Linked DNA regions of Sus scrofa. The main gene of each other region encodes a partner of the protein of the gene in region 3 in a complex. Links are inferred from orthologs where the notes say so. Each region holds a gene or a part of one and is shown on either strand. Other genes may lie near its edges. The genes, in order: ORC3, ORC5, ORC2, ORC4 and LRWD1.

Evidence for each region.
Region 1: the proteins of ORC2 (region 3) and ORC3 are in contact, whole or in part, in a cryo-EM structure (PDB 7JPO), measured with the Homo sapiens proteins. The link is inferred for Sus scrofa from reciprocal best matches to the Homo sapiens genes ORC2 and ORC3. Residues at the interface, in NP_006181.1 of Homo sapiens: Leu239, Glu242, Tyr243, Ala246, His247, Asp268, Arg273, Leu276, Val279, Ser280, Phe283, Glu286, Leu287, Leu290, Lys296, Leu297, His299, Lys300, Met302, Leu303, Gln304, His306, Leu307, Phe309, Tyr314, Gly315, Leu316, Arg320, Glu324, Arg327; in NP_036513.2 of Homo sapiens: Thr3, Ser4, Ser5, Met6, Ser7, Lys8, Gly9, Cys10, Phe11, Val12, Phe13, Lys14, Pro15, Arg20, Ile22, Ile26, Tyr29, Phe30, Lys32, Tyr47, Val111, Thr112, Lys139, Asp318, Lys326, Gln329, Leu330, Leu333, Tyr337, Glu589.
Region 2: the proteins of ORC2 (region 3) and ORC5 are in contact, whole or in part, in a cryo-EM structure (PDB 7JPO), measured with the Homo sapiens proteins. The link is inferred for Sus scrofa from reciprocal best matches to the Homo sapiens genes ORC2 and ORC5. Residues at the interface, in NP_006181.1 of Homo sapiens: Val240, Glu241, Tyr243, Phe244, Glu245, Ser248, Asp396, Gln398, Arg401, Gly402, Glu403, His426, Asn428, Ala429, Pro430, Leu431, Met432, Trp433, Asp434, His435, Gln438, Trp445; in NP_002544.1 of Homo sapiens: Asp324, Lys325, Phe328, Leu329, Leu359, Asp360, Arg361, Ala364, Tyr367, Ser368, Ala378, Asn379, Phe381, Ser382, Gln383, Thr385, Ser386, Thr389, Asp400, Gln401, Leu402, Asp403, Tyr407.
Region 4: the proteins of ORC2 (region 3) and ORC4 are in contact, whole or in part, in a cryo-EM structure (PDB 7JPP), measured with the Homo sapiens proteins. The link is inferred for Sus scrofa from reciprocal best matches to the Homo sapiens genes ORC2 and ORC4. Residues at the interface, in NP_006181.1 of Homo sapiens: Asp501, Asp504, Tyr508, Ser512, Gln518, Glu522, Val554; in NP_001177808.1 of Homo sapiens: Lys168, Asn169, Arg195, Glu200, Leu201, Lys204, Arg205.
Region 5: the proteins of ORC2 (region 3) and LRWD1 are in contact, whole or in part, in a crystal structure (PDB 8SIU), measured with the Rattus norvegicus proteins. The link is inferred for Sus scrofa from reciprocal best matches to the Homo sapiens genes ORC2 and LRWD1. Residues at the interface, in NP_001012003.1 of Rattus norvegicus: Val11, Pro12, Ser13, Val14, Gln15, Phe16, Val17, Gly18, Asp19, Val22, Leu23, Ser24, His25, Ile26, Leu27, Asp28; in XP_038945348.1 of Rattus norvegicus: Pro262, Leu263, His264, Phe265, Leu266, Gln267, Cys268, Ser270, Asn273, Ser274, Pro275, Leu320, Val321, Leu322, His323, Lys324, Tyr325, Lys326, Leu367, Val369, Gly372, Phe373, Cys374, Pro596, Pro598, Val599, Ala600, Val605, Ile630.

Annotation. Positions count from the first base shown.
Region 1 is NC_010443.5:55,994,934-56,000,526, forward strand, and holds part of ORC3 (origin recognition complex subunit 3), read left to right. Parts: intron 1-767; coding exon 768-872; intron 873-1,348; coding exon 1,349-1,500; intron 1,501-2,799; coding exon 2,800-2,933; intron 2,934-5,269; coding exon 5,270-5,429; intron 5,430-5,593. UniProt on the Homo sapiens protein: Component of the origin recognition complex (ORC) that binds origins of replication. DNA-binding is ATP-dependent. The specific DNA sequences that define origins of replication have not been identified yet.
Region 2 is NC_010451.4:104,134,596-104,140,188, forward strand, and holds part of ORC5 (origin recognition complex subunit 5), read right to left. Parts: intron 5,199-5,593; coding exon 5,068-5,198; intron 1,335-5,067; coding exon 1,286-1,334; intron 1,198-1,285; coding exon 1,107-1,197; intron 1-1,106. UniProt on the Homo sapiens protein: Component of the origin recognition complex (ORC) that binds origins of replication. DNA-binding is ATP-dependent. The specific DNA sequences that define origins of replication have not been identified yet.
Region 3 is NC_010457.5:104,621,231-104,626,823, forward strand, and holds part of ORC2 (origin recognition complex subunit 2), read right to left. Parts: intron 3,787-5,593; coding exon 3,654-3,786; intron 2,848-3,653; coding exon 2,751-2,847; intron 204-2,750; coding exon 57-203; intron 1-56. UniProt on the Homo sapiens protein: Component of the origin recognition complex (ORC) that binds origins of replication. DNA-binding is ATP-dependent. The specific DNA sequences that define origins of replication have not been identified yet.
Region 4 is NC_010457.5:4,094,496-4,100,662, forward strand, and holds the start of ORC4 (origin recognition complex subunit 4), read left to right. Parts: upstream 1-2,043; 5' UTR 2,044-2,239; intron 2,240-5,677; exon of another isoform or gene 5,678-5,715; intron 5,716-6,167. UniProt on the Homo sapiens protein: Component of the origin recognition complex (ORC) that binds origins of replication. DNA-binding is ATP-dependent. The specific DNA sequences that define origins of replication have not been identified yet.
Region 5 is NC_010445.4:9,803,938-9,810,119, forward strand, and holds the start of LRWD1 (leucine-rich repeat and WD repeat-containing protein 1), read left to right. Parts: upstream 1-2,313; 5' UTR 2,314-2,469; coding exon 2,470-2,549; intron 2,550-3,027; coding exon 3,028-3,262; intron 3,263-3,368; coding exon 3,369-3,485; intron 3,486-3,908; coding exon 3,909-4,049; intron 4,050-4,275; coding exon 4,276-4,380; intron 4,381-4,614; coding exon 4,615-4,737; intron 4,738-4,812; coding exon 4,813-4,915; intron 4,916-5,094; coding exon 5,095-5,204; intron 5,205-5,415; coding exon 5,416-5,623; intron 5,624-5,990; coding exon 5,991-6,063; intron 6,064-6,142; coding exon 6,143-6,182. Other genes in the region: ALKBH4 (alpha-ketoglutarate-dependent dioxygenase alkB homolog 4), read right to left, coding at 2,130-2,252. UniProt on the Homo sapiens protein: Required for G1/S transition. Recruits and stabilizes the origin recognition complex (ORC) onto chromatin during G1 to establish pre-replication complex (preRC) and to heterochromatic sites in post-replicated cells.

The DNA.
Region 1 (5,593 bases), on a different chromosome or scaffold from region 3:
AGCACTAAAACTCTGTTTGTGGAAATCAGAACCAGGGATTCAGGAGTTCCCGTCGTGGCGCAGTGGTTAACGAATCCGACTAGGAACCATGAGGTTGCAGGTTCGGTCCCTGCCCTTGCTCAGTGGGTTAACGATCCGGCATTGCCGTGAGCTGTGGTGTAGGTTGCAGACGCGGCTCGGATCCTGCGTTGCTATAGCTCTGGCGTAGGCTGGCAGCTACAGCTCCGATTCGACCCCAAGCCTGGGAACCTCCATATGCCACAGGAGCGGCCCAAAGAAATAGCAAAAAAAAGAACCAGGGATTCAGTAAATACTTAAAGGATCTAAAGTTTTAATTAGTTTTTAGACTCTTCCCTCAAAAATCAACTCAATATATACTTCACCTTTTGTATTTATTACTGTGATCATTAATAGTATTAATGATTGGCCTCTCCTCAGTTGTTAAGTTAGGGTCACAGTAAGGCCCTTATTTTTGATTGACTGTTTTAAAGAACTCTGTGAATTTTAAATTACTTCAACTATATGTCCCCAGTAGTTTTTTGAAAGGAAAATTGTGCTAAATACCTTTCCTGGCTAGTGTGTGCCTCTGCGTGTCTACTTTTAATAGAGATCTCTTCATCTCTGTGGTATATTTTCTTAGTTTTTGTTACTAACCATGTTTTAAAAATATTTTTACTTCATAATTTACTTGACATGTTAAATAGCTTTTTTGTTATTAAATTATTAATGATAAAATGATGGTATAATATTGATTTATTATCCCATAGGTGTGAATGTAACAGATCATGACTTAACATTCAGGAGTCTAACAGAAGCCCTTCAGAATAATGTCACTCCATATGTAGTCTCATTGCAAGCTAAAGATTGTCCAGGTGAAGTATTAATGCTCTAATAACCTTGATGAGATGTTACACATCTCTTCCGTCTTCTTTCTGGCTGTCTTTATCCCTTTTTATTTGTGGGAAGAGCATGACACTGAGTTTTTGGCAGGATGAGGTTCAGTACCTCACAGAGTAATCCCGAGCCTTCAAAACCTTTTGCTGTCCGGTGTTATATAAGTACATATTATTCCTAATATAATATATAGTTTTCAGGTTTATGCATTTGCTTAGGTAATACTTTTCTTATAGACAATAGACATAAACTTTAGTGTTAGTCTGAATTAATGAAATTTAAATATTGGGAGGATGTTAATGAACCTTAATAGTTAGTATGTTAAATGTTATGTCAATGTTAATTGTAGAAAAACACATTCTACCCAAATAGTTTAATATACTGATCAAGAAATTTCAGGTGTTTTAGATTTGTTTTAAGGGGATATGATTTATTTACATTTTATATTCTGCAGATATTAAGCATTTTTTGCAAAAGCTCACCTCACAATTGATGGACTGCAATGTAGATGTGCCATCCAAAGAGAAAGAAAGTGTTCAGTTCACTCAGAAGAAGACACATTATTCCATGGATTCTCTTTCCAGTTGGTACATGAATGTCACACAGGTAAATGTAAATTGACATTTTTTCCCACCAGGAAATTGGCATATGATTGAAGAGGTCTAGAATTACAGTAAAACCATAGTACTTTTTTGTTCTAATAAGGATATGTTTTGGTAGCACCAGTTGTTAATTTAGCAGTAGCTACTTATTTTTCCTAAGGCTATTAGAATTCAGAAGTTTTCTTTTATCAGTATTCTTGATTCCTAGGAAATCTTTAGGTTCATACAAGGCCAGTTTATTTGTGGGAGAATCATCCAGTGACAAAGCAGCATCAGGAATATGTTTCTAGCGCTGTGACAATGGCTTTAACTTTAATATACTATCTCTTAGATTCCTCAACATTTACTTTTATGGGATAGAAACTTGTTTTTAGTACTCATTTTCAACTTAGTTTGATGAAGAGTAGTGTGTGTGTGTGTGTGTGTGTGTGTGTGTGTGTGTGTAAACACACATCGATAATATATCTAATTTGTTCCATGTTTAGAATTCTTGAAGGAGTAAATGTTCTGTATGTATAGTATGTTTGACAAGAAGATATATAGATAGAAGTTTCATTCTCCCGTGACAGACTGGTGAAAGCGAAAACCTAAATGGTTCATGGGGTAACTGCACCATAAAGCCACAACCTTCCTTTATGTTCCTGTGTAGCCAGATAGTATGGGGAAAAGTTACTGTGGTAACATTTTCTGCCAAATGTGGTTGTTTGAAGTCATCATAAGTAAGGTATATAAGGATTAAGCTGGGTCTAATGTTTACCATAATGTCTTCTTTGATCCTTAGTTTCAGATTGTCTAGATATGAAATGCTGCCTGTAGTTTAGGTTAGAAATTTTTAAAAATTGGCATTGGACCAGATGATAGTTGAGATGTTTTCAACCTGAAATTTCACAGTAGTAGAGTAGCAAGTAGTGTTATTCATTATGGTTTTTAATTAAAAATACTGGCCTCACCCTAAAGCAAAGCAAAATATAATATTCTACCAAAAGAAAAATCAATTTTATAGAAAATGTTTTCTTCTCCCCATGCTTTTCCTGTCATTTTCTCAGATAGCAGAAAATATAAATATTTCATATGAGTTATAGATGTTACTGGACCTTTTTCTTCTTGGTTATTATTCCCATGTCAGACACAGAAAGATTCTGCTAATAACTGCTGGAATGAGTTTCTGTTTATTATGTGGGAGAAATAAAAGAAACAATGTTGCTGTGAAATATGAAGGGAGCTGTAACAGCTTGTGGCATTATAGCATTGTTTGGATGGTAAAGCTTACTTTTAACTCCTTCTTTCTACAATGGCTTAAAAGAAGACAGAACCAAAAATGCCAAGAAAAAAGAGGACTGCTTCTAGCCAATGGCAGTCTCCACCTGTTGTGCTTATCTTAAAGGATATGGAAAGCTTCACCACAAAAGTACTCCAAGACTTCATAATTATCAGCAGGTAGATGGTGTATCTCTGACTTTTTTGCAAAATTCTTTTTTTTTTTTTTTTTAAAGGGCCACACCCGCAGCATATGGAAGTTCACAGACTAGGGGTTGAATCAGAGCTATAGCTGCTGGCCTACACCACAGGCATATCAACATCAGATCCGAGCCACATTTGTGGTCTATCCCACAGCTCATGGCAACACCGGATCCTTAATCCATTGAACAGGACCAGGGATCCAACCCACAACCTCATGGTTCCTAGTCAGAATTTGTAACCTGCTGAGCCACAACGGGAAATCAGCAAAATTCTTTTTATTAAGAAAACATACAGCTTTTAACTTAAAAAGCAACTGTTTTCAGAGAACATAAAAGTTTTATCTTCATTTTAATACTAAAGGATTGAAACAGGATGATTTTAAATTTCTTATGAAATTGAACATTTAAATACCGCCTATCAGATTTTCATTTGCTTTTTGATCCAAAAAGGAGAACCAAAAAACAAAAGTTAGCCAATTTTTAGTTATGATAAGGCAGTATAAAAGAATGTCTGACTAAGAATGTCTGTCTCTTACTTGACCACTAAATGGGTAAACCACTCTAGGTTGAGATATTTTTGTCAGGACTTATTTTCTGATACCTGTCCACTGTTAGAAGCTTTGAATTACATATAGCTCTACTGAACAATAATGTTTTTTAAATAACTTATATTATTTCTGATGAGAAACTATTTTCATGATCTTACTGGATCTTTAAGACAGTCTTCTGAGACTTGAAATTGAAGTAATTAACCCTATTTAAAAACCCAGTGAAATGCTTTTCCCATGGTACATTTTTTTAGGGTATAATTTATTTTGGCATCTTCTGTATGTTAATTTGCTTAATAGTTTTGGCTACATTTGTCTAAAGCTGTATTGTGTGATAATCTACTAATATAATTCCTATTTTGATAGTATTTATTTTTCCATTTGAAACTGAGATTTCTAGATCCTAAGACTTTTCTTTTTTTCTTTTTTAGGGCTACCCTTGCAGCATATGGAAGTTCCCAGGCTAGGGGTCGAATCAGAACTGTAGCTGCTGGCCCACGCCACAGCAACGTGGGATCCAAGCCATGTCTGCAACCTTCACCACACTCATGGCAATCCTGGCTCCTTAACCCACTGAGCAAGACCAGGAGTCGAACCCACATCCTAATGGATACTAGTCGGGTTCGTTACCACTGAGCCACAACTCCAAGATCCTAAGACTTTTCTTAATGCTAACACTGAGCTGATTAAAGTACCAGTAATAGAGTCTGAGTACTTTAGTACTGTGAGAGCAGAAAAAAGTCTAGGATACTGAAAAGCAGTAGCTAATAGGAGGGAGCAAGCAAAATCGTCAGCCACAGAACAGAGGGCTCTGACCTACAATAGTTTTTGGAATGTTGCTGTTTTATTCTGTGGAAGTCACTTATATTCATATTGCTTATGCTAAGAATGAATCATGTTCAATAAGTCTGAGTTAAGAATGCCGGAAAAGGAGTTCTTGCTGTGGTCAGTGGATTAAGAACCCAACTAGTATCCATGAGGATGTGGGTTTGATCCCTGGCCTCACTCAGGGGTTAAAGAATCTGGTGTTGTGGTGAGCTGTGGTGTAGATTGCAGATGCAGCTCAGATCTGGTGTTACTGTGGCTGTTGCGTAGGCCAGAGCTGGAGCTCTGATTCAACCCCTAGCCCGGGAACTTCCATATGCTGCAAGTGTGGCATTAAAAAAAAAAAAAAAAAAAAAAAAAATGCCAGGAGAGAATGTAACATTTTTAAATGATGTTCATTAAATATATCTCTTACATATTTTTAAGAAAAGTTTTCTAAATCTTAGCTATTATGGCTTGGTGACCTAGTGTCTATTAGAAATGTCCATAAATAGAATAAGTTACTTGAAAATGAATGTGCTTCACCTCACTGAACTCTTAAAACATAGACTGGATGTCCATCCATGAGGAAGACTGTAGGCAGGACTCAAACTTTGGGTGAGAGATTGAATGGTATCTAACACCTCTTCTAACATTTGAGATTGTATAACCTCAGGGAGAAACACTAGATCTCTCAGGACCAATGTGTTCTTATTTATAAAATGAGAGAATCTATTATATAGATTGATTTCAGAGCTAGAATGTCTGGGAAATAATTATTTCTTTGTTTTAACAGAGGAAAATGAACGACCTGAAAAGTTTTTTATTATTTAGAATGATCTTCCTTAGCAGTGTGTTATGAAGTCAACATTAAAGTAAAAGTTGTCTTATTTTAAAATATGATGTGCTGAAATAGATTTGCTAAAGGCATTGCACTTTTGTATCTTCCTTTGAAAACTAGTCAACATCTACATGAATTTCCACTAATCCTCATCTTTGGAATTGCCACATCTCCTATTATCATCCATCGGTTGCTTCCTCATGCAGTATCATCTTTGTTGTGTCTAGAACTATTCCAGTCTTTGTCTTGCAAGGAGCACCTGACTACAGTACTTGATAAGGTAAAAGTAAAAAATTTTACCAGTGAAATCCAGGTGAAAAGAAAACTGCCAAGGAGTTCCTGGTGTGATGCAATGGGATTGGAGGTGTCTCTGCGGCACCAGGATGCAGGTTCGATCCTTGGTCTGGCACAGTGGGTTAAAGGATCCAGCACTGCTGCAGCTGC
Region 2 (5,593 bases), on a different chromosome or scaffold from region 3:
TCCACATTTTTCTACCTTTAAAAGATCAGATCACAAGCTTTTCTACTGTGACTTCCAAAAATCCTCATCAAATAACTTTTTATCATTAAAAAGAGGAATAACAGTTATCTTTGTAATGTTTCTACTTACTCAGAAACTAAGTTCTTATAACAACCTAATTAAATCAAAGTAGTTACAGAATAAGGTATTCATGAAAGAAATATGATAACAAAATTGATTAGAAAGTGAGGAAAACTGGAGTTCCCGTCGTTGCTCAGTGGTTAACTAACCTGACTAGCATCTATGAGGACACAGGTTCGACCCCTGGCCTCACTCAGTGGGTCAAGGATCCTGCGTTGCCATGAGATGTGGTGTAGGCTGCAGACGTGGCTCGGATCCTGCGTTCCTGTGGCTCTGGCATAGGCTGGCAGCCACAGCTCCGACTGGACCCCTAGCCTGGGAACCTCCAAATGCAGTAGGTGTGGCCCTGAAAAAAGACAAAAAGACCAAAAAAAAAAAAAAAAAAAAAAGTGAGGAAAACAAAAGTACTGATATTTTTACATTTCCTATGTTGCTTTGTATTGCAGGCTTAACCTAACATCTATAAGGCACTTTATTATTCACAAATCATTTTCAAATATATTACTGAAATCATCTAAAGATTCTTAGAGGAGGTTTAGAAGTTTAAGGTAAATTGCTTAGACCACATAAGGCAGAAAATAGCTAAGATGGAAATCAAAACCATGTTCTCACTACACTATGTCTGTGCAACTGTCTCCTGAGTAGTTTCATTACTATGAAATTCTAATAATTGACAAATGTAGATTTATGACTTGATTTATACATTTAATAATTAATTTTTATTATACCAAAGAGCTAACATAAACATGAAAAACAAAGTTGAAACTGATTTTCCTGTAACTTTCCAGATTTAAAAAAATTAGCAACTATTAGAAATATTTCTTGTACAATGCACTGGCTGAAAATTATTTGTCCTTCTCAAAATGATAAGAAATGATTGAAACCAGTTTTTTCCCCATGTGAAGAAGGTAAAGAAACATGTATACTTTAGTGAATATCACAAATAAAAGATACAGAAATAATAAACATACTACTTAGAAAATTACCTTGATATTTCCCTGAGATAAACAGTCTGCATGGCTTTCTTCAAATGAGGTTCAATATTTCTCCAGAGTTTCCGTGTATCACGTTCACTTGCTACTCCAAAAGGGGAAAAATTTCAGTAATTTAGATCTTACAGAAATTTTCTTCAAAAGAAATACTATGATAGTAAAACTATAGTTACCTTCTCCTTTAACCACAGGTTCGCAATATTTAGGAAAATTAAGTATTGCCTATAAACGAAGGGAAAAAAAGAGAAGAAAGCATTTTATCACCATTAGAAATTATTTTTCAGGAGTTCCTGTCATGGCTCAGCAGTTAACGAATCTGACTAGGAACCATGAGGTTGCGGGTTTGATCCCTGGCCTAGCTCAGTGGGTTAAGGATCCGGCATTGCCGTGAGTTGGTGTGGGTCGCAGATGCAGTTCGGATCCCACGTTGCTGTGACTCTGGCGTAGGTCCACAGCTACAGCTCCGACTGGACCCCTAGCCTGGGAACCTTCATATGCTGCGGGTGCGGCCCTAGAAAAAGACAAAAAAAAAAAGGAAATTATTTTTCAAGTAAATTTTTATTAGATTTCAGGCAGTTTTACTTCAGAATAATTGCACAAGTAAAATTTAATTATAGCTTATTCCTACAACAATAAAACCACAGTTATCAACAATAATAAAACATGTAAAATATTCCTTAATTGGCTAAATTCTGCCTATGTATTAGCCTCTAGATATAAAATAGTGTAACAACGCATAATTTGTAATTTTAGGTCAGAATTATGTCACAAAGGACCGCAACACATACAGTAAAGTACCTCTAGCCCAAAGAATTAACCTGTTTTTTTTTCCAAAGTCTGACCATTCTCACAAATTAAATGTCATCTAGTTCAGTTCACCTCATATTATATGATTAAGAGCACCACCTATGATTGTTATAACTTCAAGTTCTTAGCATACCAGGCATACTAGATCAGAATCTCTGAGGATGAGATCCAGGAATCTTAGTTTTAAAAAAAAAAATCTCTCCAGGATTCTATGTATTCTAAAGTCAGAAAAACACTAACTAATCATAATTACTTAATAGTTTTCCACATCAAAATTCTACTGAATGTAGTTTAAGTAACTTTATAAAAACATGCTACTGCAATTTTTTAATATTAATTTGGTCACAAGTATGTCACAGTGAAATGATTCAATAATAAAAACCTAGAGGAAAGATTGTATATAAACGTGTAACTATAAAATCTCAAATTAGGAAGATAAGAGAACTAAGAACCAAATCCTTGGAACACTTTTTCATATTTTCTTTAATAAAAGGTAACTGTTTAAACCAGAAAAATCTTTCAAATTCTGCTAATATTAAGTAGAGAGAGACCAACTTTCCCAGATTTCAGATTTTTAGTTCTAGGTACTGATTAATAACGCTAAAATGTCACAATTTTAGCAATAACTGGTAAATAACGTGGCTGAATAAAAATATACTGCTTTCTTTCTTGGTAAAAACATTAAAATATATGTTTCGTCATATATGTTAGGCCAGCAGCTACAGCTCTGATTAGAACCCTAGCCTGGGACCTCCATACACAGTGGGTGCAGCCCTAAAAAGACAAACAAACAAACAAAAAAATCTAAAAAATCTAAAAAGAGACTATGTATCAAGTTACTTAGTGTTACTGGTAATATCACCTAACATCATTATATATATTTTTATTTACAAGCACTTAAACAGTATATTTCATTTTATACCCATAGAAATCATCCGGGGTATATATTCTTGGTCCCTCTTTAGAAATGAGGAAACTGAAGTACAGAAGATTAAGTATCATATTCGACATGACACAACTGGTAAGCAGCTGAGTTAAGGTATTTTAATATTAAGTCCTCTGCTCATTCTACCATATACACTGCAATTATTTGGCATCCCCTTCTTAGTCATTATGTCATAGTCACAGGACCAAATCAAAAACAGGCATCAGAAATTTGGAGCTATACCCTAAAAAATTACTAAGCTCTGGATGAGCAATTCATTTTTCTGAGTAATTTCTAAGAAAATTATGGTATTTGGAGGGAAAGTTTTAAAATACAGCAAATTTAATGTGATAGCTATTTTTTTTAAAAAAAAATCATGCTAAACTAAATTTTAGAAAATAAATTTTGGAATTCATATGAGTATAAAAATAACTTCTTCAACTGACCCTCCTAAAATTATAATTACTACTTCTTTAGGAGATCATAAGAATTGTCAGAGAAGACAAACCCAAATGACTAGTCACTGTAGTACTTTACCTCCTCTTGTCTCAAGCTACCAGAGTTAGCTTCCAAAAAAATATTTTAAAAAATACCAATTCCTAAAGCATATTTAAATTCAGACACAGAAAACAAGCCCCAAAAGAAACTTCTGTAGGTGATTTATTAAATTCTAAAGAAATAATGCCACTTACAAACTTCAAAACATTTGAAGGGAAAAGGAAAATGTATCTTTATTATCCTATGTTCTACATATGCAGAAAAATAAGAACATTATACTATTTTTTCCTTTAATGCTTAAAGATAATTTCTTCTATTTGTTAGTAGTAAAGTCTTAAACATATTTCAAGCTTCAAGTTTATGAATACAAGGTAACAATAACAATAAAAAAGCGGCAACCTCAGCCCTAAATAAAATCATTCCTCAGTGAAACCCAAAGGACTTTATAAAAACCCATTTAAATTTTATATTTTCTTTTCCTACAAACAGTTTCCCTAAATAATTCTTCCTTCCTGTATTTTATAATCTACTTTGAAATGGCTGCCAGCACAGATTCCCACAGGATTCAAGGACATCAGTGCTAAGGAGTAGTAACTGTAAGTTATTTCCCAGGAAGGACAGTGGATGAGAACTCACTCCCAGCTCCATTTCATCCAGGGACTATACAGTCCCTCTCTCCTCTGCCCCTCTGCTGTCACTTCCCTTAGGCACCAGGAATCCCAACATTTAACTTCCAAGGAGATGTTAATGATGAAACTGAACTAGAGCAGTGTCTTTTGTTCTTTCCCTACTCAGAAGTTGCTTGAAATCAACAGCTAAATCATAAGAGGCCTAAAATTTAAAACTTCCAAAAACAGGAGTTCCCGTCGTGGCGCAGTGGTTAACGAATCCAACTAGGAACCATGAGGTTGCGGGTTTGGTCCCTGCCCTTGCTCAGTGGGTTAAGGATCCGACGTTGCCGTGAGCTGTGGTGTAGGTTGCAGACGCGGCTCGGATCCCGCGTTGCTGTGGCTCTGGCATAGGCCAGTGGCTACAGCTCTGATTCGACCCCTAGCCTGGGAACCTCCATATGCCGCGGGAGTGGCCCAAAGAAATAGCAAAAAGACAAAAAAAAAACCAAAAACCAAAAAACAAAAAACTGCTTTCCACATCTCCTTTCTGTTAACCTTCATTATAATTTTAATGAAGTGCTGCATTTCTGCCATTAGAGAAAAGAGAGAAAAGAGAAAGGAAGACATTAAAAAAAAAAAAAAAAAACCACTCCCAAGGAAATATGAAAAGACACAACTAGGGGGAGGGAGTGGGAGGGATCGGGAGCTTGTGCTTATCAGATACAACCTAGAATAGATTTACAAGGAGATCCTGCTGAATAGCATTGAGAACTATGTCTAGATACTCATGTTGCAACAGAAGAAGGGTGGGGGAAAAAACTGTAATTGCAATGTATACATCTAAGGATAACCTGACCCCCTTGCTGTACAGTGGGAAAATAAAATTAAAAAAAAAAAAAAAAAAAAAAGACACAACTAAAGATTATTAAAACTTCCTGAATAGGTCAAAGTTTGTCCTAACCCACAGACTTCTACCTTCTCATGGTATACTGGCCTCAAAAGGCCATATCCAAATTTCGAGAATAAATTTTCAGCTTCTAGCCTATCTCACACCCTTTACATATGAAAAAATACTAAAAGATGTACGTTTTTTTCAAGTAAAATGAGCACTCACCAGATGTCGGAGCTCTTTCAAATCTCGGCAGACAGTGTAGAAAACTCCAAGAAGAATATTAATGTAGGCAGCATAGAAATCAGCAGAATATTCTGGAGGATGATCATGGGACAAGATCTTTTGAAGGTTCCCTGTTCACAGGACATAAATGAACAGAAATGATTGACATGGCACCTTAGTTACATTTTATAACAAAGATTTAAACAATAAATACACAGGCTCAACAATTATAAGGAATAATAAAACAGTTACAAGATTGGAATGGAAAAGTAATACAAGTTTTGAAACTGAGGTAAAGAAAATCTAATGTTCTTTAAAAAAATAAAATAAAATAAAATAAATTTCACTTAAGACAAACACTAAGCAATGACACCTAAAGAAAAATCTCAAGAAGCTTTTAACAGGCAACATTAACATCAAGGGCAAAAAATAATATGGATTCTAGTTCATTTTTCTGCCAATTAGGTAAATCAACTACATAAAAACAAGGGGTACTACATAAACTATCAGGAAACTGGAAAATGCT
Region 3 (5,593 bases):
ATTAATTTTGTAAGACTGATATCTCAGGAACGAAAAATAGTCATATTTTAACTTACTGAGAGGAGCATTGAGGTGGTCGATGGATGCTATAAGATATATGTTACGTAAAGATGATAACTGTCCAATAATTTGCTGGCTTTTGTCTCCTCTCAACATTTGGCTATCCAAATTGTGGATAAGAAGGAAGAGTTCTAAGGAAGAATCTAAAAGGAAAAATAGTTCAATTATTATTTTCAGTGAGTACAGTGAGTACTTGTGCCATGTATTAAAGAACATATCAAAATAGTATAGGACAAAATAACTGTTGCTTAGGGGTGTGCAATTTATTTGAGAAGATATATCGGTCACTCAAAATAGGCAAGACATTATTAAAGGCTTAACTGAAAGAAATTCACCGGAAATCAGTAAGGACTGGAGCAGTAAGAGACTTGACGGGAAGGACTTGAAGCAGACCATGAAGAAAGCAGTTTTAGTAAGGCACAGGAAATAAAGCGAGATGCACACTGGGCTGGATATGAATTTGTGCATGTTGAATTGCAAGGTGGGAGTGGAGGGGGAACATCTTCCCCCAGAAAGAGTTCTTCTCATTAAGTATTAAGAGCGACTATAGCAAACTCTTATTATCACAATGTCCAAGGGACAAAAAAAAGAGAGAGGAAGAGGCTTAGGATATTGCTCAAGGCATCAGAAGGTCAGAGAAGCAAAACACCATAAAAGTCAGTGAAGGAAGAGTTTGGATGATGATGTCAACATCATCAAATACTAGAGAGATCAAGATAAACACAGGATGAGGCAAGTCAGTTTGTTTAGAAAGGAGGAAATTACAGGTGATCCTCAAGCACACACTTCGGGTAGCATAGAAACAAGAAGGAAATAAGTAAAAAGTTGGAGTTGAAGGCAGGACATGTCTTCAAAAACTCATATGATTGATATAGGGAAATAAAATAGTATGGAAGAGCAGCAAAATCACGTAAATATTTTTTAAGATGGAAGAAGCTCTATGCATGTTTTAAAACCCATTGGTTGGAGTTCCCGTCGTAGTTCAGTGGTTAGCGAATCCGACTAGGAACCATGAGGTTGCAGGTTTGATCCCTGGCCTTGCTCAGTGGGTTGAGGATCCGGCGTTGCCGTGAGCTGTGGTGTAGGTTGCAGACGTGGCTCGGATCCCGCGTTGCTGTAGCTCTGGTGTAGGCCAGCAGCTACAGCTCTGATCTGACCCCTAGCCTGGGAACCTCCATATGCCGCAGGAGTGGCCCAAGAAACAGCAAAAAGACAAGAAAGAAAAAAAAGAAAGAAAGAAATGGGACATTGTCATTTATGGTGGAAGATGAGCCTTTTAGAATAAGTTAATGTCTCTTCCATTGCAGATAGAGAAGAGAGACGATATAGTGACAAAGATTCTGAGACAACACATTCTAAAAGTTGAAGATTACTTAAATTCTAAAAGTCACCATAATCGGTATTTAAATTATACGTAAACAAATATAATTACTATATATGTAATATAAATTATAATTTATATAATTCACATTGATGTAATCCACAATTATATAACATTTATATAAATATATTTTATATGTTATAGATTATATAATAAATATATTTATTATAATACTGTATACAATACCTATTACATATATATGAAATGATTCAGGTACCTATTTTAATGACTGTACAAACAATATTGAAATTATCCATCAAATTGTTAAGCATAACCAATTTCTCCATTTAATTCTTTTTTTTTTTTTTTTTTTGGTCTTTTTGTCTTTTTAGGACCGCATATGGAGGTTCCTAGGCTAGGGGTTGAATCTGAGCTGTAGCTGCTGGCCTACACCTGAGCCACAGCAACACCAGATCTGAGCTATGACTGTAACCTACACTAGCTCATGGCAATGCTGAATCCTTAACCCACTGAGTGAGGCCAGGGATCAAACCCACAACCTCATGGTTCCTAATCAGATTCGTTTCCACTGTGCCACGATGGGAACTCCACTCCATTTAATTCTTAAGTTTTAACTAAATGACAATAGCTGGACCCTAATTTTATTTCTCATTTGGTTATATGAAACACTCATGTAACCAAAATATTCACACCAAAAGAACAATAAATGTTTTTTTCCCAGATTTTCCCAGATTTTAGTATATGAACTCATTCAAATGCATTGATATTTACTCAGGATAAAGAAATAAGAATGCTTTATAAACATATTAAATAATGTAAAAATATCAGACAAACATGTACCAATTAACTGGAGCACTTCACACTGCCCAAATAAAAGTGAAAATTATTCTGAAATAGGAGACTTTGGCTATATAAATTCAAGGTAAATAATTCTTTCCTGTTAGGTAATGGAAGTTTGCAGAAAAAGTTCATAGAAAAAGAAGGGACAAATTATTTTAAAGAAATCTAAACCATCACTGAGAGAAGTGTCATTATTAAAATAACCCTCATTTTTGTGTATATTAGTACATAAATAAATACAAGTATATGATTGGCTTTACCCTAAAACTAGAGCATCAGAGTTACTGCTGTGGTGCAGTAGCTGACTGCAGCAGGTCGGGTTGCTGCAACGGCACTGGTTTGATCCCTAGCCCAGTGCAGTGAGTTAAGGATCTGACACTGGGGTAGGTCACAGCTGTGGCTTGGATTCCATCCCTGGCCTGGGAACTTCCACATGGCACAGGTATGGCCAAAAAAATCCGAACGCCCGCCCCCTCACCAAAAAACGAGAGCCTCTACGTCACATTACCTTCTTTAAATTTGTTTATTATCCAGTCTAGCTGATCCAGCACGCTGCGGAAAGTACCCATATGATCAAGGACTTCTTCTGTTATAGAATTCAGGATCTATGTCATAAAAGGGCAAGAGGTGCATCTATTATCACTTATTCTGTCATGTAGGACAACTATAACTAGCAAATTAATCCTTTTATAAATTAAAAACGAACTTGGATTTCCCTCAAAGTCTAAAAAATCATTTCAAACATTCTCCCAGTACTTGTCTAATTTTTTTTTTTTTTGGTATAAGTATGGCTAAAAGGAAACAGGGGATAACAGCAGAAGTGTAAAGATAATATAAGCAGGCAGTAAAAACAAAAGAAAACAAAAAGACCTCAACGATATAAGAAATATTAGAAAACTATAGATTTATCAAAGAAAAGAGGACACAGACACTGCGGATACCTTTAAAAAGGAGTATTACATTGGTTATATATCCAGCACGTAAAAAGTTTAATTTTCAAATGATGAAGAGATAGGAGCGTTTGGAATAAAAATGATGGAAGAACTATAAACTATTAAGTATATTTTCATATTTTTAGAGTACCAAAGTGACAGAGAAGCAGGATAAAACTGAAGTCCCCCATAATCCTGTCCTTCAGAGAAGTACTGTGGGTATTCAGTGTAGTAAACAAAGTTAACATTTCCTTAGGAATGAATGCATTTTCAGGTACCGAATAGGAAATTTAAGGATGGGGATTCAAGGCTCCAGCCCTCTGATTCAAACACATGATGTAAGGCACGACGCAATCTTACTAGTGTGAAAACAAAAAACAAAAATCGAATGCTCCAGAACTTGAAAGAGGATCGTCGTTAACTTGGGGGGATGGACGGGCAGGGGGTATGATGTTCCTTTTAGCATTTTTAAAACTTACTGATTTCACACTGATTCCAGGAAAGAAGCCATTGATGACAACATGAATGCAATCTTGCAGCATTGCGGTTCGAAATCTCTCTAGTAAATCTCTCTTAGAGCCCAAACCGTAAAGCACAATGTTGAACCCTAAGCTGTAAGAAAGAGAGCATTCATGAGATTAAACTTCAATACTTTTTTTTTGGCTGCGCCTGCAGCATACAGAAGTTCCTGGGCCTAGGGACCGAACCCCTGCCACAGCAGTGACCCCAGCCATAGCAGTGACAATGTCGGATCCTTAACCACTAGGCCACCAAGGAACTCCTAAACTTTGGTACCACTAGATGACAACTTGATAATTAACCAGTTTCCTTAATCTAAGCTTGTAAAAAATACAGGAAGAACTGGCATGGCTAAGTAACTGTACTGATTCCCAACTTACATAAAGCAAAAGCACATTTTTTTTTTTTTTTCCCTTTGGTCTTTTCTAGGGCTGCTCCCATGGCATATGGAGCGTCCCAGGCTGGTGGTCTAATTGGAGCTGTAGCCACAGCCAACTCGGGATCCAAGCTGCATCTGCAACCTACACCACAGCTCACGGCAACACGGGATCCTTAACCTACTGAGCAAGGCCAGGGTTCAAACCCGCAATCTCATGGTTCCTAGTCAGATTCGTTAATCACTGAGCCACAACGGGAACTCCACAATTTTATCCATACCCAAGATGATAGTTCCAGCTTTCAGTAGCTTTCTCTCCAGCTCCCATTACCTCTCAAGTGATACATGCCTGGAGGCAAGGGAGAACAAGGGAGGTACAAGGCACTACAGAGTTTCACAGGCTGAAGGGGAGTTTTAATAGGTGGGTTAAGTTGGGAATGTAAGCAGGGGCCAGGTCACAAAGGTCTTGTTAAGTTAACTAAGACAGTCATTGGATTTTATTCTATGGGATATGAGCATTTAAAAGTAAGAAGTCAAAGGGGGAGGGATAAATTAGGAGTTTGAGCTTAACATATACATACTACTATGTGTATAATAGGTAACTAACAAGGACCTACGTTACAGCACAGGGAAATCTATTCAGTACGCTGTAATAACCTGTATGGGGAAAGAATCTGAGACAGAATGGATATATGTATGCGCATAACTGATTCACTTTGCTGTACACCTGAAACTAACCCAACATTTTAAGTCACCTATATTCTAATAAAATTTAAAACAAAACAAAAAGTAGTCAGCTGTTAAGTGAAAGGTTTTAAGTAAGAAAGGAACATTTTATTTTTTTAAGAAAGATTACACTTGGAGTTCCTGTCATGGCTCAGCAGTAATGAATCCGACTAGTGCCCACGAGGCATGCAGGTTCAAGCCCTGGCCTCACTCAGTGGGTTAAGGATCTGGTGTTGCTGTGAGCTGTGGTGTAGGTCACAGATGCAGCTTGGATTCTGAGCTGCTGTGGCTGTGGCCAGCATCTACATTTCTGATTTGACTTCTAGCCTGGGAACTTCCATGTGCTGTGGGTGTGGCCCTAAAAAAAGCCAAAAAAAAAAAAAAAAGGATTACACTGGCTGAGTGGGGGAGTGGATAGAAAGGAGGGTAAAACCGCCAAAGGCTATGGACTTGAATTAGTGTCATGGAGAAAAATGTAAGGTGTCAAGAGCTTTATAGGTCAAATCAATTGGATTTGAAGAATGATCGGACATGGAAGGTAAATGAAGGGGAATATTAAGAAGAACTTAGTTTTTTGGCATGGGCATGAATGGGTGACACTCACTACATCAGGGAGTAGGGACAGATGGGGATGATGGGTTTAAGATGAGTTAAATTTTATGTATGTTGAATTGTTTACAGGACAGCCACATGGAAACTTCCAATATACATTCACGTCTGCTGCGGAGGAGAGAGATCTAGCTGGGCTGGAGATACCATTATGGGAATGACATACAAAAAGCCAAACTGAAGCCAAGA
Region 4 (6,167 bases), about 100 Mb from region 3:
TTACTCTATAAACCTAAATTTGGATTTATCTTTCAATTAACATCTACAATGCATATACTAACTACAACATCATGATTTCTTCGACTCAGAAAACCATATTTTAGAAATTTTTCTCCTTTCACATATAGTGAGCAATTTGGTTCAGTACCCCCAAGAGATAAAAAACTCATCTCAATTTACAACAGTAAATAAATAATTCAGTTAAAACTGAAAGTGGTACCAATCCAGCAAACTATTGATGGAGAGGTTTGGCCTTCCATGAAGCCAGAACAACATAAAAGTTTTCAATGGGGATTACTTGTTCAGACAAGTTGCAAAGATTAGGAAAATACCCATATTATGAAATAGCGAATATTCTCATCTTATGTAAAATAAATATCAGGAACGTAGCTACAGAGAGACAATACCAGCGGCATTTAAACTTTAAGTATTTTGAGCTATGAACTTCATATGCTAATATATGAACAAACATTTAACAAAAAAAAGCAATAATACAAGCCAAAACCTAACCAAAGGCCTCTATCACCAAAAATTTGAAATTTTCTATGCAAGTCAGACAAAACGAATAAAGGAAAATTAAACCCAGAAAGCAAAAACCAATCAAGTCTGTTCCAACACTGAAGTCAACATCCAAATCACATACAGAACCAAAAAGGGGAAAACACTCAGGTCTACAAATGGATAAGCAGTTCCGATACAATCCAGATCCCGACATTTTCCCACACAGAAACAAATGCAGCAGAGCTTTTCCTAGGAAAAAAGGAAAAAAGCTCTCCAAATGATTTTTTAAAGTGACATCTAGAAAGTGTGCCTCTTTCTGTCTCTTTCCCTGGCGCCTCATTGGAGGAAGGAGGGGGTTGTTTTTGTATTCTCCCCCACTGGAGCCAAGACACAATCAGATGTTAGCTGGAGGAGAGAAACCACTTTTGACAACAGCAAATAAAAATAAAAAGTGCCCTTCCTCCTCTGACAGGATGGGCACCCACCTCACACACCCCTCCCCACTCCTACTCCTCCTTCACCACCCCCCAGCACCACCCCCTCCTCACCCGGGAGCTCCACTGCGTATGTGGTTTGGTGCTACTGTTGCCCCAGAGTTAAAGTCAGAGCCACAGGAAGGCAATGAAGCCCCCACAGACACACTTACCTTTCCTGCCCCCCACTTTTGAGTGCCTTCCCTGGAGCTGTGGAGGATGACACAAAGGGTAATAAAGAGGGGGGGAGTGGAGGAGGAGGAGGAGGCGAAGGAGGAGGAGAGCTGGGGAAGTGGCTGCTCCTGGGTGTAGTGAGATGTCTCCAGCCAGGGCCAAGCAGCAGTAGCAGCAGCAGCAGCAGCAGCAGCAGCAACAGCAGCAGCAACAGCAACAGCAGCAGCAGCAGCAGCAGAGAAGGGTCTGTGTTGCTAAGAGGCTTTTGGTCTCTTTCTCTCCTCTCACGGCCAAAGAGGAGGAGGATGGAGAGGGCTCGGGAGGGAGGCTAGTGGAGGGGTGAGGGGGTAGGAGTCGTGGATGGGGGGGTTTGGAAGAAGAAGAAACTCCTTCTCCTTCTTTCTCAGGCTCAATCCCCCTCTCAGGTCTCAGGGCTGGAGGGTGGGGGAAGGAACTCAGCCGCCTTCCCCCCACCCCCCTCAATTCAAGGTTGAAGTGGGGTAAAATTAGTGTCCTGTCCCTTTAAAAATAGAAATAAAAGGTGCCCCCCCTCTGCCACTGCCTCTCTCTTCATCATCAGCTGCTGCTGCTGCTGGGGTCTCTCTGCTTGGGGGGGAGGGGGGGTTCGGGTAGAAGAGACGGGAGGCACTCACTGCGCATGTCCCTCTCTGACGGGAGGCTGGTTGGTTGAAGGCAGGAGGAGGGGGAGGGGAGGAAATGTGAAGGTTTCCCAGAAGGCTCCGAGGCGATCGCGACCCGGAAGACATTGTAGCAGGGGGTAGAGGGGCGGGGGCGGGGAGTAGGAGGAAGTCGCTACTCTTTAACACCCCCAGCCCCCTCCTCCTTCCTAAGGGAAAGTGGAGGAACGGAAGTGGGCGTGGACCAAGGCAAAAGGAGGTCACGTGTTTGGGCGGGAGAGGGGAGTGGTGGGAAAGGCGGTCCCTGCGCGGGGCACGCTGGGAGTAGTGGTGTATAGCTGGCAGCCTCTGGGGAGGTAGAGCTGACTACGCGGCGAGAGGAGCTTGTGGATCCTTTTCCGCGGTCTCTAGAATACCGCTCTGCCCTCTTAAGGGCTGGCTTTTTCGTGAGAGGTAACATGGGGGTCGGCTGGCCTCAGAACGAAGGCCATGGGCGCCACTGGCTAAAGGCGAATCGAAAAGGGGAGGATGGAAGGCTTTGGAGACTGGGTATGCGGGAAGGGGGGCAGGCCTGTCTAGGCCAGGCAGGCCAGAAACTAGGCTGGCTTCTTCCATCTCATAGCCTTCCTGTGAGCCTGCGGGCGACGAATCCTTGAAGAGTTTAGGGAGTCCTGATGAGATTAAATCTATGGCAGGTGGAGACTACACCCAGTGGTGGTGAGGAATGTGATGGTCCAGGTGTAAGAGAAAAATTGGATCTCCGGAGCCTTCTGATGACTGTTTCAGCTCAAAGCAGGGGACCTGCCTAGCAAGGGAGACAAGCTGTGTGATTTTTGACAACTTATAGCATTAAATGCATTGCTTATGTTGGATGTTATGACCATCAATCCTTACTTCGCTATCCTTCTAGGAATTCTGGAGTGGCTTTGGGGAGGGAATAAGCTAGGATGTCTCGAGTGGAATTTCTCTCCCTGTCTTGCGTTGTTGCTGCACCACAACGCCTATGGTTGTTCTTAGAAAAGGATATGGGATTGTGTAATCCTTGATATTGTATGTTACCGTTGATAAGGAAGGTATATCATCAAAGTTCTCCCTTTCTGTAGTGTAGATGAGGGTTTTTAAAAATTATTTTAATGGGTTTTTATTTTAAATTACTTTGGTTACTAGCCTCGGATTTAGCCTTTGGTTTTTCAATTAAATGCAACTGGTTTTGCTGGAAATAATGCTTCCCTTATGTTAATTCAGAATATTTAAGAAAAGATTCATGGATTTTCATTAATAAAGGTATTTTTTTCAGTAAAATTGCACCGTTTCTTTTTCACATTCAGTTCATACAATCATAACTAAAACCATTCTAGTCTTTCAGTTAACTTCTTTTGAAGGTGCTTTGAAAGATTATCACTCATGTATAGTTTCTTTTAAGACCGGGAATCCAAAATTCCACATATTTATGTTGTGTTGGTATTATTTAATTCTGTGGTGTGTCCTTCAGCGTACTCTTAGTTAAAGTTACTACTTATTTTCTACGTTTTACTTCTATGTGTTTTGACAGTAGATCCTATTCATGCATCATTGACTGCTTTTACCACTTTCTGTGTGTGCAGTAATCTTGTCGAATGGAGTAAAAACTAGACACCTGTGCCTTAACATTTTGTTTATATTGAAACCAAATGTTTGCCACTTTAGAACAGAAAAAAATTATAGCAAATCAATAAAAGTGCCTTACGTAACAAGTTTTTAATTTTTTACGACAAAATAAAAATGTGCAAAAAAGTGTGCAAGTCGTAGATATGCAGTATAATGAATAATTATAACGTGCACACTTTGTAATCACTACCAAAGAGAGAAAACAATGCTCCGCCCTCCCCCCGCCAATCCATTCCTATTCTTTCCTCCCTCTTCAGTACTCCCAAAGATGGCTGGATTTTTATGGTAACAATTTCTTTTTTTTAAATGTAGTAATGATATTTTTATGGTAATGATTTCCTAATTTTATTTCAAGTGTTTTTAAACCACCTTTTCCGACATTCCTAAACAATACACGTTTTTTTCTATATGTAAATGAGTTATGTATAATTTTTCTCTTACTATGCAATATTTAATCCTGTTAGCTTTAGTTCATGTATTTTTATTGCTGTATAGTAATGTTTATAGTATAGTAAGTGTAGTGTAGTGAGTCCTATTGTGAATAAATCAAAATTTAACTAGTTCAGTATTACAGACATTTGGATTGTGTCCAGTTAAGTTGTCTGTGTTTTTACATAAAGACTTGAGCATTGTGGCAAATATCTTCTCTGTGCTTGTAGCATTTCTCACATCCTGAATAATAGCTTTATCTTCATTTCATTCTTACTGACTTATATACTGCTACTGTTATTTGAATTTTGGGGGGTAATTTTAACTCCAGGGAAAATGTCCTATACTTCTGCTATCTGGTACAGTAGCCACAAGCTATGGAACACTTGAAATATGGGTAGTATTACTGAGAAACTGTATTTTTAGTATTGTGTTAATTTAAATTTGAAAATCGATACTCGATTCAGTTGTCGGAAGATTCATTAAGTATGCTTGGAACAACCTGAGTATGTAAGTTTACTGTCTCAATTGTAAACTTTATAAAAATTAAGACCACATATTTCTGATGACAAATTAGCATCTGAGTTGTTCTGTGAATGTCAAATAAACCTCAGATTTCTAAGATTTAGTATGAGAACAGTGTAAAATTATTTTATTATGATTACTTGTTGAAATTATAATAAATTAATTTCACCTTATTTTACTTTTTTTAAATGTGAATACTAGAAAATATTAAGTTACATGTGTGAGTGGCCTTGTATTCTAGTTGGGCAGCATTGTTTTCTGCTATCAATGTTGAGTCGATATATTTACCATTTTGGGTGTTCTTCATCTCTTCTTGAATCTCTGAATTTTCTTTGGGAATCTTTTTCCTCCTGCCTGAGTATACACTCTTAAGAAATTAATTAATGTAGACATACTGATGGCCAAATTGCTTAATTTTTTTTGCTTACCTTACAATGTCTGTTTCACCTGCAATGTTGAAAAATGTTTTGGGGGTATTGTAGGATTGTGGTTGTTTATCAGCCCTGTTAAAGATGTTCCACTGTTTTATGGTGGGGGGCTGCCATTATTGATTTTGAGCAGTCAGCTGTCTAATTCTTGCTGCTTAGAAGAAATCTGCCTTTAAAAAAATATTTTCTTTGTCATAGATTTTCTGCTGTTTCTTCATGATGCTTTTGTATGGAATTCTTTTTCCCGTTTTGAACTCATTGGGATTCTTGAGTCTACGGATCCACATCTTTTTAGGAAATATATCACCTATGTCCACCCTAACTGTTTCTAGCTACTTGCTAAAAATTACAGTTGTGGCCTTTATTGACATAGTATTTGTAGTTAATTTGTTGTCTGTAGTGCAGAATTCCAGTTTCTTGATTTTTTTTTTTAATGGGTCATTTTCTGTGTTCGTGATTTTCTTTTTTTCTCCTAGTGTGCCTGTGTGATGGTTGTATTTGAAAAATGTTAGGAATACATGAGTCTTAGAATAAGGTCCTCCTCAAGAAGAAATTTTTTTTTTTTTAGGAAAATTGTTTAGGGATGCTACCATTTAAGTCACTTAGTTCATGTTCAAATCTTGGGATCCCTTCTGTTATATACATGATGTTAAGCAGGGCTTCTAATCACACAAGCTTTGTTTTGCTTTCCAGTTCTCCTTTTTCCTGATGATGCTGCCCTTAAGGTCTCAGAATTAGGTGATTGTTTCTTTGAGTGCACATGCTAGATAAGCTCTATGCCTTTGATTTTTTTTTTTTTTTTTTAAATTCCCAATAGCTCTGCAAAGTCACCAGTAACTTGGTCTTTCTTTTTATTTCTTAGTCTTTTATTCTGGATAGACGGAAAACCTCAGGAAGAAGGTACTGAGTGTGTATTTCTTCGTTTATTTTCTCCTAGATTTTGTCATGTAATATCAGATTGACTTATTTTTGTTTGATTTTTATTATTAAGCTTTCTTGTTGACTTTGCAGTTGGCTTGATTTGATCTGCCATTACCATAAATAGAACCCTTATTCTCTTTTTAATTTTAGAGATTTTTTTTTCTTCTAGCCAAAATTGTTTTAAATTGTCACACATTAGTTTAAAAATCATAAAATCACATCGATCTGTACAGTATAAGATGCCAAATTAATTAAAATTTAGAAAATATTTCCAGGCAGTTTGTATCTTTTTTTTTAACTTAACAGTTTCAAATGTAAAAACACATTCTTAAAGTATCAACTGCTTCTACATGAATTACTACTGAAAACAGCCCATAACTATTTATCATATCCTTTGGTTCTCCAGAGTATTGCCCATTGCAGACTGAATG
Region 5 (6,182 bases), on a different chromosome or scaffold from region 3:
TTCTCCAGCAGAGCCTTTGGGATCAGCCTCTGATTTTGAGCAGAAGCCACCTCCGTCCCAGGCCTCCAGCCAGTAACCCAGGCCTGGCTGTTTCTGCTCAACACAGGACTGCCTACCAGGCATCTTTGCTCTGGAGCTTCCAGTAGGCTGGTCAAGACTCTGTCGGATCTACATGGATGTCTGGGGTGCTCCCTGCCCAGTGAATTCTGCTTCCTCTTCCTTTATGCTCCACAGGCATCATCAGCACCTCACGCTATCTCTGAGCCACCCTGTCCACTGTCTCTTGGCACCCCACATGTGACACATGGAAAGTAAGGAGTGATCGTGTGTGAGTTCCCAGGCCAGGGAATGAACCTGCACCACAGCAGCTGACCTAAGCTGCTGCAGTGACCAGGCCGGGTCCTTAACTGATGTGCCATAAGAGAACTCCTGAAAAACCTTTTTTTTTTTCCTCTCCTTTTTTTGCCTTTTTAGGGCCAAACTCGTGGCATATGGAGGTTCCCAGGCCAGGGATTGAATCAGAGCTACACCTGCCAGCCACAGTCACAGCCATGCCAGATCTGAGCCGCATCTGCGACCTACACCAGTTCAAACAACACTGGATCCTTAACCCACTGAGCGAGGCCAGGGATCCAACCCATAACTTCGTGGTTCCTGTTTGGATTCGTTTCCACTGCGCCACAATAGGAATTCCCTAAACCATATTTTAAATGCACACTTCAGTGTATAAAATATATCACACTATTGTGCAACCAACCTCCATAAATTTTTCATCTTGCAAAACCGAAAGTCTACCCTTTAAATTACACCTCCTCTTGCTCTTCCCCCCCAATTGCTGGTACCAATCATTCTACTTTCTTTTTCTTTCTTTTTAGGGCTGCACCGCCAGCATATGAAAGTTCATAGGCTAGGGGTCAAATCGGAGCTGCAGCTGCCAGACTACACCACAGCCACACAGCAACACTGGATCCAAGCCGCATATGTGACCTAAGCTGCGCCTCGTGGCAACTCCAGATTCTTAACCTACTGAGTGAGGCCAGGAATCAAACCCACAATCCTCATGGATACTGGTCGGGTTCTTAATCTGCTAAGCCACAATGGGAACTCCCATCATTCTACTTTCTGTCTGGGTGAATGTGACTACCCTAGGGACTTCATGTAAGTGGAAACATGCAGTATTTGCCTTTTTGTGACTGGCTTATTTCACTTTGCCTAATGTTCTCAGGGTTCGTCTTTGTTGTAGCAAGTGCCTGGATTCCCTTCTGTCCTTTTCAAGGCTGAATGATATTCCATGGCATGGATGGACCACGTTTTATTCATCCTTTCATCTGTCCCTGGATACCTGGGTTGCTTCCACCTTTCAGCTACTGTAACTGCTATGTAGCTCTTCAAGACTCTGCTTTCAATTCTTTTGGGACATACCCAGAAGGGGGACTGCTGGGTCATATGGCAGCTCTACTTTAATTTTTCTGAGGAACTGCCACTATTTTCCACAGGAACTTTCAAGCTTTTTCAAGCCTGTGGCAGTTGCTTCACTGGCTTCCCAGTCTCCTTTCCTTCCCATCCATTCCTCCCCTTCCCGGGACCTCTCTAAAATTCACATGTAACTCCCTTTAAAACCCTCAAGAGCTCGCCATGGCCCTCAGGGCAAGTCCAGCCTGCCTTCTGTGGTCAGGCCCACCGGCCTCCCTCACCTGAAGCATCACCCACCTTCCCCAGGCCTCGGCCCAAGCAGTTCCCCAGCTGGAACGCCCCTGCCGCCCTCCGTGGCCCAGGGTCCCTTTTTTTATGAGTTCATTGGAATGAATTTCCTCCTTGCCCACTTCCATCCGAGGCCCTCTGCCCCGGTTTTCGGCCCCATCTACTCTCTTCGTGGGTCTCGTCACCGGACCCTAAAGCTTCCCGCCCCAGACACGGGGGCGCTATGTTTGCTGTCAGACTCCACACAAGTTCGGGGTGAGCTGCTGTCGAACCTTACCCACGTCCCAGGCCCTTCGCCACTCCCAGCTCACTCCTCAAAGCCGTCATCTCCTCACCCCGCTACGCCCCCCTCGGTAGGACCGCTGACCGGTCTGATTCCCGGATGAAGAATGGAGTTGTGGGCGCGGCCCTTCTCTCCCAGCCCTCACCTGCGGGGAGTGCTGCCAGGGCGGGTCACCTCCGCGTTGCCGCTCGCAGATCAGACAGGTCCGGATGCCCTTGCAGCCGCATTCCCGAAGGACCTCGGGGGCCGCCACCGCCGCAGCCGCCATCGCCGCGTCCTGGCAGCCAGAGCGCAGGCGCAGGGCCGCGGGGGCCGCCGGGAGTTGTAGTCCGCGGGCGGGACATGAGGCCCGCGGGGCCGCTTCCTTCCGGTCGTCGCCGGCGACGGATTCGCGCGGCGCCACCTCCTGGACTCGGCAAACCGCTGGCGCCAGCACCGGAGTCCCGTGCCGCCGTTCGGGCCACCGCGAGCCGCGCCTCCCCGCCATGGGCCCCCTTTCGGTGCGTCTGCTCATCCAGCGGGGGAGACCCAAGAGCGACCGGCTGGGGAAGATCCGGAGCCTAGAGTAAGGGCTGGGGCTACACAGCCTACCGCCGGGCCTGGGTCGCCGGGCGATTGGGAAGAAAACCTGGGATCTTTCCTCTCTCCCTGTCCGGCCTCGTTATCACCCTGTCGGTTCCACAGAGTCTTTAATCATTCGGCCCAAACGCCGTCTTCTCGCTATGAGACGGGTCTGGTGGGCCTGGGCTGCTGGGGAGAAAATCTTGCATAAGGAATAGGGAGCAACCTGTTGAGATAACTACAGAGGACCTGGAAAGCAGAGACACCTCCCCCCTCCCCGCCCCCAGAGGATCAGGAAAAGAATCCTGGAGGGGGCCAGCTGCTCCAGGTTCTAAAGAAGTTCTAAGCTAAAGGTGGGGGGATGTTGGGAAAACGCGGGAAAATGTCAGGCAGAAAAGCCTTGTGAAGTGCCTGGGTTGCCATGGGTGCAGGTGGGAGGCCCGCACACCCCCTAAGCCCGTCCTCTCTGCCCTTCCCCCCAGCCTGTCAGGGCTGAAACTGCTCTCAGAGCATCTGGACCCCAAGCTCCTGAGCCGCCTGAAGCAGCTGCAAGAGCTGGACCTCTCCAACAACCAGCTGGAGACACTGCCCGCCAACCTGGGCCTGTCCCACCTGCGCATCCTCCGCTGCGCCAACAACCAGCTGGGCGACGTCACTGCCCTGTGCCAGTTCCCACAGCTCGAGGAGCTCAGCCTGGAGGGCAATCCTTTCCTGACAGTAAGTGTGGGCCCCCGGCGGCTCCATGCCCAGGGCCAGCACTCTATGGGCTTGGGCTCAGCCACAGGCTGAGGCAACCACAAGCTCCTCTTCCCTCACCCCCCAGGTCAGTGACAACCTGAAAGTCTCCTTCCTCCTGCCCAAGCTCCGCAAGGTCAATGGCAAGGATGCTTCCTCCACTTGCTCTCAGGTGGAGAACCTGAACCGGGAGCTGACCAGCAGGGTAAGGGGCGGGAAGGTGTCTCTGGTGCTTGGGAGTCGTTGGGGGCCTTGAGGAGCCAGTGATGGAAGTGAATGTTTGGAGGACACTGAGGGTGGGGTATGGGGGGCAGCTGAGCGGTCCTGAGCCTGACAGTGGTGCTTGGCGTCTTGTCTGTGGAGGTCTGCTCCCCACATGTACAGTCCCAGCAGTGGGGGCTGGGATGCTTTCATGGTGACTCGCCAGCTCCTCCCTTCTGGGGCTGTTTCTCCATGTGTGTTGCTGGGGTTTGTGCAGCATGCAGCTGAGGAGGCTGTGGTTTGGGGAGGCGCCCCGGAGGTGGTGAGGTTGAGACACTTCTGGCCATGGGATTGGAGGCAGAGGTGCCACAAAGGGTCCAGGATGGCTGCGGTGTGCCGGGCTTGAATCTGGCCCCTCTCGTGCCAGGTCACAGCTCACTGGGAGAAGTTTATGGCCGCGCTGAGCCCAGAGGAGGAGACGGAGAAGGCTCAGGCGGACTTTGTGAGGTCTGCCGTCAGGGACGTCCGCTACGGGCCCGAGTCCCTCAGTGACTTCACGCAGTGGCGGGTATGTCCTCACCCCTCTGTGCTGGGAGTCGCTTCTCCCAGCTCCTCCTTGGCTCCCACGGCCTGAGCCGCCTTGGATGTCTCTGGCCTCTAGGGGATGTGGGGGGGGGGGGCGGGTCAGGGAGGGCAGCCCTGCTCACCAGAAAGACCCTTCCCCAACTCAGGAAGCACCCTCTGCCTGGTGCCTGGGGAGGGTCTGCCCGGCTTCCTAGTGGCCTGGCCCACAGGTGCGGATGATCTCTGAGGAGCTGGTGGCTTCTGGTGGGACCCACGTACATGAGGCAGACATCCCAGAGAGGCCCCCCAAAACCAGAGCTACCCGGGAGCCCAGGGTGAGTGTGCTTCCTTCCTGCCTAGAAAGGCATTTGGGAAGCCGGGGGCCGGGGGGCCGGGTGGGGGTGGGGCAGGAGATGCATCCAGATGGTTCTCTCTGACCCTGATACCCTTTGCCTCCCGTGCTCACGGGTGGCTGGGTGGGGGTGCAGTCCAGCCTGTGGTGGGGAGGAAGCCCCGGGAAGATGGGTGTGAGGTCACCACGGCCTCAGCTTCCCCCACCACCTCCACAGGCCAGGCCAGTGGCCTTGAAACGGCCAAGTGACATCCCACTCAGCCTCTCTCCCAGCAAGCGGGAGCTCACCTCTCCACTGGCCCAGGCAGAGGGCAGCCCGGTGGGCTCTGATGGCAGCCAGGTGAGCTAGCAAGGTGTCGGGGCGTGTGGCGGGAGCAAGGGCCGGGGCAGCCGTGACCCCCCTCTGCCCCCACAGCTGGAGCCCCTGCACTTCCTGCAGTGCCACAGCAAGAACAACAGCCCCCGGGACCTGGAGACCCAGCTCTGGGCTTGCGCCTTCGAGCCGGCCTGGGACGAGGGTACAGCCTTGGTGGGCAGGCAGGGCGAGGCGTCTGGGAGTGCCCCCCAAAGGGAGCTGCCCGGGTGGATGGAGGAATCGGGAGGGACAGAGCTTAAAAGGTGTCGGCAAGGTCAGAGGAGGGAGCTGCAGCGGAGACTTCATAGGGGACGTTTTCACCAGGCCGACCCCTCCCAACAGGGCACGCAGGGGCCACATCCCAGACGGTGGCCACGTGTGGCGGGGAGGCTGTGTGTGTGATCGACTGCCAGACGGGCATTGTGCTGCACAAGTACAAGTCGCCCGGCGAGGTGAGCGCCAGGGCCCTGCTCCTGCGGGGCGGTGGGCAAGCCCCGGCTCTGGGGGCAGGAGTGCTGGGGTCAGGGGCCGGACTTGCCACCTACTCACCAGGTAACATTTTCCTTTGATGCGGGGCTGCGGTGCCCCAGGCTGCCTTGGCGCGCGTGTGCACACTGGTAGCTCTGCCCCTTGCTGACTGCTCCGCGTCCCGCCCCGCCCCAGGAGTTCTTCTCGGTGGCCTGGACGGCCTTGACGGTGGTCACACAGGCAGGCCACAAGAAGCGCTGGAGCGTGCTGGCAGCTGCAGGCCTGCGGGGCCTGGTCCGGCTGCTGCACGTGCGTGCCGGCTTCTGCTGCGGGGTCATCCGCGCCCACAAGAAGGCCATTGCCACCCTCTGCTTCAGCCCCACCCACGAGACCCACCTGTTCAGTAAGACCTCTCCCCACACCCTCACCCTGCAGCCTGGCGCCTTGGGGCTCTCTCCCTGGCTGCCCAGGTCAGCTCAGACTGTGGGAGGAACAATGCTTCGTGGCTCACTGACGAGGCTTTGAGTCCTATCCTTTCTCCCAGCCTGTGGCCTGGGAGTCGTGGCTGACCTGGGTGGGTACCCGGGGCCCCAGGTGTGGGGGGCCCAGTGAGGGTGACATCTGGTGTGGGGCATGTTAGGTTAGACGAGATAAGGGTGGCAGGCCCGGAGTCGTCTGTCTCCCTGCCGGGCCCGCCCTCCCTGCCGTGGGACCGCGGCTCAGCCTGGGCTGCCTCCTCAGGCCACCTCCCTCCTTCCGCCCCCCTTCAGCGGCCTCCTATGACAAGCGGATCGTCCTCTGGGACATCGGGGTGCCCAACCACGATTATGAATTCCAGGCCAGGTGATGCTCTGAGGCGGGGTGGGGGCGGGGGGCGGCCCCCTGAGTCCGGCCTCACACTCTCGTCCTCGCCTGCCGGCAGCCAGCTGCTCACACTCGACACCACCTCCATCGCCCTGCGC